Linked DNA regions of Danio rerio. The protein of the gene in region 2 purifies or fractionates together with the protein of the main gene of each other region. This does not show direct contact. Links are inferred from orthologs where the notes say so. Each region holds a gene or a part of one and is shown on either strand. Other genes may lie near its edges.

Region 1 (6,526 bases), on a different chromosome or scaffold from region 2:
AACTCTCTACTAGCTGGGCTTCCAGCTAACTGTGTCAAGCCTCTTCAACTGCTCCAGAACGCAGCAGCACGAGTGGTCTTTAATGAACCTAAACGAGCACATGTCACTCCGCTGCTAGTCCGTTTGCACTGGCTGCCAGTTGCTGCTCACATCAAATTCAAAGCTCTGATGTTTGCCTACAAAGTGACTTCTGGCCTTGCTCCTTCTTATCTGCTCTCACTTCTGCAGATCTATGTGCCCTCTAGAAACTTGCGTTCTGTGAATGAACGTTGCCCCGTGGTTCCATCCCAAAGAGGGAAGAAATCACTTTCGCGAACGCTCATGCTCAATCTGCCCAGTTGGTGGAATGAACTCCCTAACTGCATAAGAACAGCAGAGTCACTCGCTATTTTCAAGAAACGACTAAAAACTCAACTATTTAGTCTCCACTTCACTTCCTAATCTGCAATTGCCTCTCTGAATATCACACTAACTGTACCAAAAAAAAAAAAAAAATACTAATACTTCCCTTCTTAGACTTTACAGACCTGAAACTTGCCTATAGCACTTATTCATTGTTGCTCTTAGTTGTTTAAATTGCTTCCTTGTCCTCATTTGTAAGTCGCTTTGGATAAAAGCGTCTGCTAAATGTAAATGTAAAGTAGCCTTTGTCGTCCATTCAAGGTAAAACAATCTTATACATTTATTCATAATATACACTGCAGCATCACCTGTCGCCTTGCGGCTTGTGTTCTGCAAACCCGGGTTGTTAATGAATGTGAACTACTGCACAGGGTTGTAACTACTATTGTGAACTGAAAGAAATTACAATGTTCAAATATACCGTGCATCTGCAAAGTATTCATAGCACTTCACTTTTTCCACATTTTTTTTTATGTTACAGCCTTATTTCAAAATGGATTAAATTAATTTATGTCCTCAAAATTTTACACACAATACCCCATAATGACAATGTGGAAAAAGATTTTTTGAAATTGTTGCAAATTTATTAAAAATAAAAAACATGGAAAATCACATGTACATCAGTAATCACAGCCTTTGCCATGAAGCTCTAAATTGAGCTCAGGTACATTCTGTTTCCACTTATCATTCTTGAGATGTTTGTTTCAGCAGCTTTATTAGAGTTCACCTGTGGTAAATTCAGTTGATTGAACATGAATTGAAAAGGCATACACCTGTCTAAATAAGGTCCAAGGGTTGACAGTGCATGTCAAAGCACAAACCAAGCATGAAGACAAAGGAATTGTCTGTAGACCTCCGAGACAGGATTGTCTGGATGCACAAGGCTGGGAAAGTTATAGAAAACTTTCTGCTGTTCTGAAAGTTCCATTGAGCCCAGTGGCCATCATCATCCGTAAGTGGAAGATGTTTGGAACCACCAGGACTCTTCCTAGAGCTGGCCGGCTATCTAAGCTGAGTGATTGGAGGAGAAAGGCCTTAGTCAGGGAGGTGATCAATAACATGATGGTCACTTTGTCTGAGCTCCAGTGTTCTTCTGTAGAGAGAGGAGAACCTTACTTACAGAAGAAAAACAATCTCTGCTGCAATCCATCAATCAGGCCTGTATGGTAGAGTGGCCAGAAAGAAGCCACTCTCTACCTGGAATTTGCCAAAAGGCATCTGAAGGACTCTCAGATCTTAAGAAACTAAATTCTCTGGTCTGATGAGATTAAAGTTGAACTTTTTGGAGTGAATGCCAAGTGTTAGGTTTGGAGAAAACCAGGCACCGCTCATCACCAGGCTAATACCATCTCTACAGTGAAGCATGATGGTGGCAGTATTACGTTGTGGGGATGTTTTTCAGCAGCAGGATCTGGAAGACTAGTCAGGATAAAGGGAAAGATGAATGCAGCAATGTAGAGACATCTTCAATGATAACCTGCTTCAGAGTGCTCTTGACCTCAGATTGGGCCGACGGTTCATCTTCCAACTGGACAATGACCCAAAACACCACCAAAATATCAATCGAGTGGCTTCACAACAACTCTGTGAATGTCCTTAAGTGGCCCAGTCAGAGCCCAGACCTAGATCTTATTGAACATCTTTGGAGAGTTCTGAAAATGGCTGTACACCGTCGCTTCACATCCAACCTGATAGAGCTTGGGAGGTACTGCAAAGAGGAAAGGGAAATTTCTAAAGACAGGTGTGCCAAGCTTGTGGCAAGATATTCAAAAAGACTTGGCTGTAATTGCTGCCAATGGTGCATCAACAAAGTAGTGAGCAAAGAATGTGAATATCTCCGTACATGTGAGTTTTTAGGTATTTTATTTTTTATAAATTTGCAACAATTTAAAAAAAAATCTTTTTTTCACTTTGTCATTATGGGCTATGGATACTTTCTGGATGTACTGTAGTTCATTTACTGTGGTTAAATTATAAGCTCTCTTGTGATTTTTATTTTTTAAAACAAATTCAAAGGCTAATAATTTTGCTTTTAACTGTACATAGTTTTATTTTCTTGTGGTAAACAAACAAAAAAATGTAGACTTTTTTTGTAATGAAAAGAACAGTTGGATTCTCACCCTGTAATTTAAGGTGGTGATGCAACAGTATACTACAGCATGTGTTTGCATTATTTTACAATAATTCAATGTGCTGGAGTCAACTATTTTACCAATACCATGGGTGCCTTTAGATTTATTTGATTTGATTTTCGACAATTGTAGGTTGTGAAATTATCATTCTGTTTGAATGAATTATCATTCAAGTCATTCTGTGTAGTGATATAGAACTGTAATTTGGTCAAGACCTGTCTAGAACTACTTTAGCAGTGGATTTATCTTTATTTTAATTGATATTGATGTACACTTCAGCATAGTTGTATAAGTTGTCATGTTTTTGTTTTACAGCTGCAGATCTCTAAATGGATGGATGTGGCCCGCTCTCTCCAGAACTACCTTCGCTGCTGTTTGTCGGTGCGTCTCACAAACAGCTGTTGTTGTCATTGAGGTTAACACGTTTGGATTAATGACCGAGTGGGATGCCGCTTGTAAAACGTCAAACCAAAGCGCTCTTATCGCATGTCTTGGGTCGTTTCGTTGTTTAGAAAATAAATAGATTGAGTGGAGTGTCGTCTGTCACCTTAATGTGGCTGTAACTGTTATCTTCAATACACAAACTACAGGCTCACCGTTATTGTTCTGCTAGAGAATGGGATGCTGGGATAAGGAGAAATGAATGTGTCCCACATAATCGCTCATTTTTTCAAACCTACAGTCCTAAACTGTTTGGGCAAAAGCAAATAAGAAACCCATATATATTGGGGAGTTTGTTTATGTTGTTTTTACATATGATATGCTAAATTACAATTATAATATATAATATTTGTAGGTTTGATGTAGTTTTGTTTTTTTTTTGTTTTCGTTTTATTTGTTATTTTAGAGGTTGTTTGATTTGGAGGGATTTTTGTGTTTTTTATTGGAGATTGGGGAGTTAAAGTTGTGTGCTTATTATTATTATATATATATTTTTTACTTATTTATATTTGTTAAGCTTAGGGGCAGCTTTTTTGGTTGGGTGAAGTTTGGTGTGTTATTGATTATTATTTAGTTTGGTATTATAATCTCTTGCCTGTAGAAGTGGTAGGTGTTTTTTTTTTTTTAGTTTAAAGTGTGTATGCTTTTATTTACGTATGTAAATATGTCTGTGAGTGTCAGTTTATTTATTTATTTATTTATTGTTTAACTGTTTTAGTATGGTTTTTGTGTTGTGAACTTTCCCTCTAAGAGATGTTCTACATCTTCTCTTTCACAGAAGAGCTCAGACTCCTCTGAGAATCATTGTGTAGATTATGAAAGCTCAAACTTGTATGACATTCAAAGCACCACTACCAAACTCCTCAAGCTGAACCAGGCTATCAAAGATCTGCATTCGTCTCTGTCACGGTTTCTGAAGGGTAAAGTATTTTACATTGCCGTATTCATACACCAAACCCTTCACAGTTACAGCAAATATGACATTAGTTCACTTTATTGATGTACATTACAGGTAGGAGAAGCGACACTTCCCTTAGTGAAGCGATACAGTCTTCATCCCAGACTATTGATAAAATCATCAGCAGCCTTCCTCATGAAATAACAGGACATTCAGATGGTCTTCAGCTTCAGGATGACGTTCAATCAGCGCTCCAGGCTTTGCTAGCAGTGTTTTCTAACAGCACCGATGAAATTCAGAAGCCGACCACAGACAGACACTTTGTTCAATCAGGTTACAGCAGCAGAAATCGAACCGTCCCTAAAGTTGTGTATTCTCTTTCCTCAGGCATTAGCACATGCTCCAGAGACGCCCGATGGGTGTGATTTAGTTAAGTATATAATGATTTTTGGCATAACTGCAAAATTGTTATGTATATTCTGTTGTTTACTGCACTCATACTGGTCTACCATTGTTTGCCTACAAATTTTGTCTGATTTCTTTGATGGATTTTAATGAAGGGCTTAATGGTACAGCTTATGAAAAGAGGTTTCTGTGTATTTTGTATTATCAAGCATTATCAAAGCATTATAAAAGCTAAATGAGAAAACACTTCACTTTCTGGATATATTTTGCACTTGAAACTTTTGCACAGGCTTTGTCACAGCTGTTTTTCTACACATGGAGATGTGAGTTTTAGCATTTGTAGCAACATGTACTCTGGATCATGTAATTGTTTGATAATAATTTATACTTTCAGTAATAAACACTCACTTGGAACGAGGTCTGGTGTCTTGATTAAACTTACTACATTTCTTTACCATCCTTAAAGTAACTAGAGGTTTCTTAAGCGACTTAAGATTGTAAATATGGTTGGTTCTTAAATCACTATAAGGCTTGGCTTCTTATCTGTCAGACCTGTTGACTGATCATCAGCCTGGTCAAACCAGAGATTACATTCTAAAAACGTTGAGTAATTTATTTAACCCAATGGATGAATTAAAAATATTTGCTGCTTTGTTGGGTTATTTTTTAACCTTTATTGGGGTATTTATTAATAACAAATTGGGTTAAATATTTGGTGCTTTGTTGTGTTATTTTTTAACCTTTATTTAGTTATTAATTTAGTTACTCAACCAGTTGGGTTAAACAGATTTAACTGATACAGAACAGCTGTATTAATATGCATACGTTATGTTGTTTTTGCATTTTAAAGTTTATTTAAGCTCTTAACGCAATAAGTTATTTTTTTTTAGCAAATTATCTCTCCGTGTCGTGTAGTGTTTTTTTTTTTAAATATATATCTGTTTCACCAGCACTCTTATTATTGATGATACAACTGTGCAATTCATAGCCAATCTATATTAAATCATCTACAGTTTTTTTTATTAGAAGCTTTTGAATGTGGTTTAAATGTATTTGTACTTAGTGGACACTGAGTGAAGCCTGCTGCAGCTGCTGGACAGTCTCTACAGCACACAGAACTCTATATTCTGCTCCATCAGCACATGATTTTCTGCTTGCAGTTGCTGTCTGTACTTTGTTCTGTTTTTTCATTGCTTGTGATTTTTGAGTTTAACAAAGTGTCTGGAACTTAAAATGTAACGGAAATAAAGCATTTTCAATATTTTTTAAATTATGTTATTTATTTACAAAGCCATAATTATGACGTTAATATAGCCCTAGTTAGTAATGGTAGCAATAGTAATACCAGAATGAAAAAAATAACATTTAATGAAAATACCAAAATGCATTGGGTTAAAAAAAACCCATAGAAGGTGCTATAATAACCTATAATTGGGTTATATCTTGGGGTATTTTTAACCCAACTATTCCCAGACAGCACACATACGTTGGGCCGACGTCGGCCGAAGGTCAACACGTCGGCCCCTTTAATTCTAACATCGGTATATGGTCGGCCAAACATACGCATGATCGTTCGGTCGTGTGTTCTATTGTTCCAGCTCAACAAACGTCGGCTCTGCATCGGTTAACGACCAGAGGCCGACGAAGCACTTCATAAGCACTTTATCTCTCATGCCCATGAAGGAATCCGGCAACATATTTGGTTTACAAGTAAGTTTTTGCGTGCATAATAAATTAGACAAACGCGACATGCATCATGTCTACTGCGTCGGTCGGTCCAGCTTTAAATAGCCTACAATAATACAGTAAAACTGACCAAAATGCCTACAATACATGATTTCAATTAATTAAAATATAAAAAGTTTTGTTGTTATGCTTAAATAATGAAAACGTTGTTTTTTTTCTGGTGTTAACTGCTGTTTGCTTTTTTTATTGTGGCTTTTTCTAATACATTTTTCCCAGTGTAAAAATGTTCTGCATGTTCGGCTGTTTAATTAAAATAAACACCTTTTTACAGAGTGACATCTTTGTTTTATATATACTTGCATTTATATTTATTGGTTATTTATTTTTGACAGTGAATCTGATGCACAAATAGGCCTAAGTGTTTGTTTTGTAACAGTTTAGTAGGCTATAAAGCTCGTCTTAAAGATAATAGCGTATATAAAACTACTAAATACATTTTTAATTCAATATATAAAATACAAGGTTATTATTTAAATAGTCTATGGAGTGATCATGTTTATAA
Region 2 (7,893 bases):
TAAAAATATACCAACCTGTGTTACATTAAACTTGCCAAGGGGAATTGCCTCATTTATTCGATAATATAAACAAAAGATAACGTTGATTCGAATTGTATTTAATATCTAATGCAGCATTGTTTTTAACATTTTATAATAAGCTATTTACAGTAAAAACATAAACATTTCCATTTATAACACAATGGAGCTCAATGTTGAATACACTAGTTGAGCTGCACCTGCCTTTACTTTGATATGCTCGTAGATGTCAGATGTACTGTTTGTCAAGTGACAATATTTACTTTTTAAAAGTCTAATTCATTTACAACATTTAATTGAATCATTTAACTTCAGTTGCGTTTTTTGTAGCTCAGGAATTAAACTAAGAAACAAAAGATTACTTTAAATTTAAATTTCAAAATGACGACATCTGTCAAGGACATTCGCCCCAACCACCAACATTCTCCCTCTCTTTTCAGATGGGATGGCGGGCCGAATCAAAGGTTACCTTGTGCCAACTTTGGGCATCTCTGTACTAAATGATTGTTATTTGGTAAAATAAATATAACAGAATTTAGGGAAAATAATTTTAAAGAGCTATATGGAAAAAAATCTAATTGTGTATTATATTAATATTTAATGAATACATTCACAAATAGACCAAAAAGCTCATGCAGCTACATTCAGCCCATATCGTTGAGTGAATCAGACATTATTATAGAAACCTCTGTAATATGAATTATAAATATGCATGGTAATAAAAGCTATTTTTAAAAATGTAAATGTACTCCAATTTGTGTATCTATGCAAAATTCAGTGCTGTTTACTTTAGTTTTGTTAGAATTAATTGTCACGCCAATAAGAAACGAGCAACTACGGCATATCGATAATTAATTAAAAAAAAAAAGAAAACTGAGTCATGGAATACTGTAAATTCACATAAAATCAATATATTACAAAATATTGTATCTAAAGATACAAACAACATCTTACAGTTTTATTTTTTGTTTTGATTGTGTATATTGCTTTTAATTATTAAAATTATTTCCACATTACCATTTTAATATGACTTACCTTTCTCCTTTATTAAAGGTGTTTAATATAGTGGTTATCAGCTTCAGTCTTAGTAACCACTCAGCACATTTTGTTCAGTTTATAGAGCCAAAGCCACTGGAAAACGTACCTGCCTCCCTTTGCCAAGATCAGCACAATAGCTAAAGCTACTGCTCTGCCATTACTCAGATCTGCAGCAGCTAATCTTCAACATGTCTACCCTTTAAACATAGATTTGATTGATCTATTTATACTACTATTTTTATACCTTCTACTGTTTTGTTAGTCACTAGTAATTTTGTGAAAGAGAAGATATAGTGTATGTCACTTATGATTTCTATATTCTCCGCTAATAGTAACTGACTCTCACAATATCAACGAAAATTCAACAGACGTTAAGCAAGGTCCCAAATCATCCCTCACCAGTGTTGCCAGATTGGGTAATTTCCTGCCCAATTAGGCAGTTTGTATTTGATTGTGCAGGTAAAAGAAAAAAAATTTTTGACAAAATTTGGGAGGTTTAAAAAAATATAACTTTTATATGCAACTTTAATATTCAACAAAACATAACTGTGTGCTCCTACTCCGTTCAGTTAGTAGTGACTGGTGCATAGTGCAAGCCGAGTGGGCCCACCCGTAAGAGGAGGGGAAAGAAAGTCCAAGGACAAATCTGACTCGCCTTCGTGTGCACACGCATTACGCAGCGCCTGCAGTTAAACTCACAGCACTTTATCATAACACTTATATCGATCTTTTTTTCCACAATTGACAGCAAGAACAAACACAGAAGCATTGTCTGATTGACAAGCAGCCCCTAAATATGTTCAAAAGGATTTAAAACACCAAATAGGACAAATTTATACCCCATTTCGTAAAAACATACTCTAACATTAAGTGCAGTGCAGTGTGTGGGTGAGAAGGAGGCAGTGTTTCGATGTGATCCAGTTATGTTTTGGTTCTGTGACTGCAGGTGTTGGTTGCTGTATGGTTAAAAATTATGACAGTTAAAGTAACCAGGTTAATTTCGATTTAAATTAACTAAAATAAAATAAAATATTAATATAATATTTTGGGAGTTTTATGTGCATTTCCGACAGCTTTTGAGCTGGAAAAATCAGCTTTACCTGGCAACACTGCCCCACATCATTAGGGCTGAATGGGCTGTATGCACAGCTAGTGTTTTTCAGCTAATGATGAACTTCTGATGACAGGTTTATGTGACTATTTTCAATTTCATAATTAATTCAAATATAATCAGTTTATTAGACTTAAGCATTCATTTGGTTGTTAATGCATAAAAAGAGACTGTTTAAACGCAGGTGCCTTCATTAGCAGCAGGCCAGCACAGATGCTCCATTGAAAATACTGGGGTAAAATTAATTTCCATATTTTAAAGACACGGTGTGGTAAAAATATAATTAAATGCAGTGCTTCTTTTTTGGTCGGATACCCATTTTATATCTTATCTCAGCTAGGCATTGAAGATCGTTGTTTTTTAAAGATATCAGATCTTTAACACTGCAATTTTGTATGGGATGAAAATTCACCAGAAGCCCTGGGGCTGACTGAAATTAAAAGTTTGTGTGCACATACCCCATCTGAGTAAACAGACAGTAGGTGCGTCCCAAATCACATACTTTTGCACTATTCTACGCCATTTTGTAGTAGAAATAGTGTAAGTAGTGCGTTCACACTGAAAACTCTAAAAATAATAAGTGCGCTCTAATTACTCGGATGATGCACTTATTCAACAGATAAAAGTAGGTGTGTAATGATGGACACTTCACGCAATTCACAGTCGCTGCCTTACTTATGGTAGCGGGAGGGGCGGAGCCATCGGAGGCACATGTTGGATATATTTATTTTGGATTATGAAAGCAAAATTCTCCTCTGAGAGAGATTATACCACCTCCCGATAGTGAATGAGGTTATACTCACGGCAGGTATTATGTGGTTGTTTGGTCATTTATTTGGAAACCGTCAAACTTCATCAGGGAAGCGGTTTGAATTTCTGCGTAGTGTTTCATTTGGGACGACACTACATACATATACTATGCTGTTGGAAGTGTAAGTGCATAAGTACATAGTGCATAAGTGCATAGTGTGCCATTTGGGACGCAGCTAGTGATTATCAAGTGCACTCATTCAGTCCCACAATGCACTGCAATAGTGTACACTTACAAGGTTGTGCATCTTGACAGAAGATGGCGCCCAGAGCTCATTCCAGTAGATCCATTTTAATTGCTGGTCCACTGTGGGTACAGCTAAATATCATGAAGCCATAATTTCTGATTCAAGTTGTTATTAAATAGTTTAATTTAGATTTACACATAGATAAATCTAATCAATACAGCTGGAGCTCCCAGATTACCAAATTTCACTCATTCAAGTGTGAAGGCTGTGCCAGGCTCTTGCTGTGCTAAAGATTTAGGTAAGGTTTTCAGTGTCAGTGGTTGCTAATATGATTTTCACTATTGAGAATTTGTAAACAATATTTTTTTGTTAAATATTATTAAGGAGAAAGTCCGACTGTGTGAATGTAAAACTAACTTTACCTCAATACGTCATAGCAACGTCATGTGGAACTCGCATCTGACGCTCTGCATCTGCAGTTGTTGATGGTAAGGAAGACTTTGACAGCTGAAGCTCACACGCATCACAATCAAACAAACACGCATAACACACCTCTTTCATGTAGACCAAATACATCGTTTCGGCAATCTCCAGAAATCCTTGTGCTTTTTCAATCTCATCTCTTCCCGCCCACAAAATGCCGAGCTGATTCTGTCAAAAACACAATCGTCATACGTCAACCAGCAAGAGAAGCACGTTTATTGAGTCATACCAGGCTTTTTAGAAAATAATAATCCATGTAGTGTGAATTTACCCGGACATGTATAAATAAGGAGACGTTCTCCCGTGTTGTGGTGCACTTGTCAATGAGCTTCATGCAGACCATGAGGTGCAGCTCTCCAGCCGACAGCTCCTCCGTCTCTATGTGGTTCACGCCGAGATGATATTGCAGCACCGCGAGCCTGGCCGCTCTCAGGCCGGCTGCAGAGTCTCCAGTGAACGTTTTCTCAAAACCATCCTCCGGCTCACCATCCGCCGTTTGGCTGGACTCACAGTCCGCTTCATCCCCAGCCTCGCCCTGCTCCTCGATTTCAATCTTTTTCAAAGAACAGTGGATTTCCTTCAGCAGATCTCTGGCTTTGTATTTCGATCGGAAAGGGTTATTCTCTGGGTCTTTTTTCGACTCTATTTCGGAAAGCTCTTGGGCAAGGCGAAATTTCTCGCACACGGCCCTCCACTCGATACTGTTGTTGGCAGCCATGTTTCCCTCTAGCAATAAATAGTGTTCACCAGCAGAGGTCAGTCCCGAGACACAAGCAACGCACAGCTAGTAGTTTTAGTTTACTTTAGTTACTTGTTTATTTAAAATATCATATTAGTTACTGATTCATTTAAAATAGCATATGAAATGATCTCATCATAAAGTCTCGATGTGACTAGTACTTATTATGTGTCTGTTATTATTGGCTGGATTTACTTTCCGACTCTCTGTTCTTTCCAGATTCTCTGGCTCCATCTACAGGTCAATGAAAGTCAGAGATGTAAACAAACAGGCTTCCTGTGGGGTGTGAGTTGTTGGCGGATGTGGCAGGTGAAGTACTTTATACATGGGCTTGTTCCAGTACCCACATTTGCGGTTTTTCCTCCGTGTGGTCAAAATATCTCAAGTGTAAAGTCCCCGTGTTACTTAGAAATAACAGATTCTGAACCATCTAAAACAAGTTGTCAGTAATCTAATTAAAGCAATGTCTAAATTACTTCCCTATACTGGGGGAAAATAGCCTAAATAAAATTCTCTTAACCATGTTCTGTAAAATGCAAATTATGTGGAAGTAACGTTGTTTCTTAATCTTTGTCACTTGAATGTTTTATTATGTTTAACTGTGTGTTTAAAAGTTTACTTATTCACCACCAAAGTAAGCCATGCTTTAAAGTGTATCCTTAACATTTAAGTAAACAACAGTAGTTTTTTGTTATTGTCTGTAGCCTATTGTGCCATAGATACACAGCAGCTATTGTGCCATAGATACACAGCACTCACAACATAAGTGACCTAAATTAAACACAGACCTCAGTACTTGGTACAACACACAATAATGAAACCGTCATGTTTTTTGCAGTGTGAAGGAGTTTTTTTTTCAATAGAAAATTAAGCCCATAAGTAACTACATATAAGAAAAAAGTAAATAATTGGAAATAATGAAAATGGCTTAATGTATGATTAGAACATCTTTGCTTAAAAGTATTTTTTTGATATTTAAATGAATCATTACAAACAGTGAAGTGATGCAACTGATGCCTGTAGGTTAGATGATAATGATAACTATCAAATCTATTCTGCATACTCCACATTCATATAACAGCTACATACTTTTTAACGTGTGCTTAAAATAAATACCTGCTAAAAAGTGTCATGAACCCCCTTCTTTCTAAAGTCTATGGTGGAGTGCTGTGAGCAGAAGGGAGGAGTGGGCAGAGCAGGGAAAAAAGAGGGGGTGTACAACTGTCAGTTGGCTCAATAACAATTCTGACACAAAACATGAGATGGCATGATTTTGTTGTTTACAAAGTTAAAATGCAAAAGAAATAAACAGTATTTAAATGCCCGGTTACATGTATGATATACTGTTTGTAATTTCATATAATATATCTACATAACCACAATTTGTTCTATTATTATAATCATGTTTATATAAACACTATGCATCCCAGAGATGGGTTGCGGCTGGAAGGGCATCCGCTGCGTTAAACATGTGTTGGATATGTTGATGGTTCATTTAGCTGTGGCGACCATAGATTAATAAAGGGTCTAAGCTGAAAAGAAAGTGAATGAATGAATAAGTAAATAAACACTATAAATAATGAGGACTTCCCTTCTGCTGAATCCCTAGGTCTAGAGCAGTACAGTAGCTTACAGCAGGTCTCATTCACTATCTATTCCAACCTTTAGCCCTGGCTGGAAATGTAGTGGATTTTAAATATAGTCGAACACAGCAGCATGGTGATGTGTCTGAATGGTAACAAACCTAACTGATAAAAGTCAAAGTCTGCCACTCTCCCATTCTCGTACAGCTCTCCGGACAAAAAGGCTTGCTAGTTGCTACACACAAACAGGTTGGCTGTATCAGTAGCCCTGACACCATTGCAGGGAATGCCATGCAACACACCTCATGGGTCATGGAAGCAGACACAACTTTTTACAACCATTTATATACTGCGTGCCATTCGTCGTCTCACAACTTGGCAGGTCTGTCCATAAAGCATGTGCGGTCATGAATAATTAAGAAGCAGGGTCTTCTCATAGCGTAAGAAAACTCTATGAATAATATTGAGAAACCAACATGTCATCCCTGGACAGACAGATCCTCAGACAGGTGCATTATCACAGATTTTCATCCCGCCCCGATAATGATTTTAAACCCAGAAGATGAAATTAGCTGACAAAGGCTCAAAATTTTCCAGTTTTTCCCACAATTAAAGCGAACTGGTGCCAACGTTGTCTTAATGATGCTCAACACACACAACTCTGTTACAATCTCAAAAAAGTACTCGAGGGTTTCTTAAACCTTTAAAAGAGTGGGAGAGCTCAGACACTTCCTACACGAAATTGTGTAGGTTTGTCACAATTTAGGATAATGCCCAACTGTGGTCCTCATTGGCTGCCTGGTTATGTCTGTTTCAACCTTCAAACACTGTAGTTACTTGAGATGTTAAAACTGACAACATCATTACTCTCATATCACTATTTAAGAAGGCTGGAAAGAAGCTGAAATTCCACCATAGTAATGGACATTTGGTTTCCAACATGCACCTTAAGCCCTACAGAATAGCCCCTTTCACACATGCACACTTTTACTGAAAAATACCGGTACATTGCCAAAAAAAGATCACGTGTGAACAGGCCCTTTTGAAAAAATTAAATAAAAACAGGAAATTAGTTCTGGCAATGTGTGATGGTGTGAGATGTCTAGTCTGGGCCAATCAAACAATCTGATGCTGATGATACATTCATTATATTTACAGGGAAAATAATAATTATAATAATAAAATAATTTGTCCAGATACATTAAGTTGTTAATTAGATAATGCTCCTTTGTTTTTTATTTGTGCCAACTGTGAAAAAAACAAAACAACATTGATAAAACGCTTTTGATAAACCGCTGTGAGTTTAATTGCAAGTGCTGCACTCAACTGTGTAATGTGCAAACACACAATTTGGTACAACACCGGAAGTTTCTCATTTCAAAGAGGGTCTCACAGGCTGCAGCTCATGCTTAAATGAATCTCTTGACATGTGAAAGTGCTCCGTTCACATTTCTTCATCGAGTTGTTCAACACACTTTTCCATTTAAAAATTTGATAAGTGGGCCATGTGAGTTTGGCCAGTCTTGACCCACATTTAAAATACACTAAAATCATTTTTAAGTAAAGAAAAAAAATTCTACCAATCAGGTCACTTTGAGAAAAAGCGTGCCCAGAGTGTGCCTAAAGCGCATCACTCCATGGGTTTATCAATTTCATTGCAATCGTGACACACCAACCTATCTGGCCCAGTTCAGGCCCAGTTATGAGTTATTAACTTGGCTGAGACTTGGCCCAGATATGGTCTGTGTTTGGCTCTTGTCTGGAAGCCAGATTTGGTCCAGTCATGTACCGTAATTCACTGCGGCATGTGGGCCAAGCAAAACCTGATTGTGTGGGCCAGAGCTGGGCCAGAGAAATTTTGCTATGTGGGTAGTATCACTGTGTGAAAGGGCGTAGTGATAACAAACATCAATCAGATCAGTG

Evidence for each region.
Region 1: the proteins of kifbp (region 2) and kif14 purify together in Homo sapiens (affinity purification with mass spectrometry; 3 studies listed by BioGRID and IntAct, counting the BioPlex papers as one, with this or other methods). This does not show direct contact. The link is inferred for Danio rerio from reciprocal best matches to the Homo sapiens genes KIFBP and KIF14.

What each region holds. Positions count from the first base shown.
Region 1 is NC_133197.1:22,318,653-22,325,178, forward strand, and holds the end of kif14 (kinesin-like protein KIF14), read left to right. Parts: intron 1-2,849; coding exon 2,850-2,915; intron 2,916-3,753; coding exon 3,754-3,895; intron 3,896-3,987; coding exon 3,988-4,298; 3' UTR 4,299-4,693; downstream 4,694-6,526. UniProt on the Homo sapiens protein: Microtubule motor protein that binds to microtubules with high affinity through each tubulin heterodimer and has an ATPase activity. Plays a role in many processes like cell division, cytokinesis and also in cell proliferation and apoptosis.
Region 2 is NC_133188.1:26,244,160-26,252,052, forward strand, and holds the start of kifbp (KIF-binding protein), read right to left. Parts: upstream 4,380-7,893; 5' UTR 4,367-4,379; coding exon of another isoform or gene 3,920-4,366; intron 3,817-3,919; coding exon of another isoform or gene 3,718-3,816; intron 3,639-3,717; 5' UTR 3,588-3,638; intron 1-3,587. UniProt on the Homo sapiens protein: Activator of KIF1B plus-end-directed microtubule motor activity. Required for organization of axonal microtubules, and axonal outgrowth and maintenance during peripheral and central nervous system development.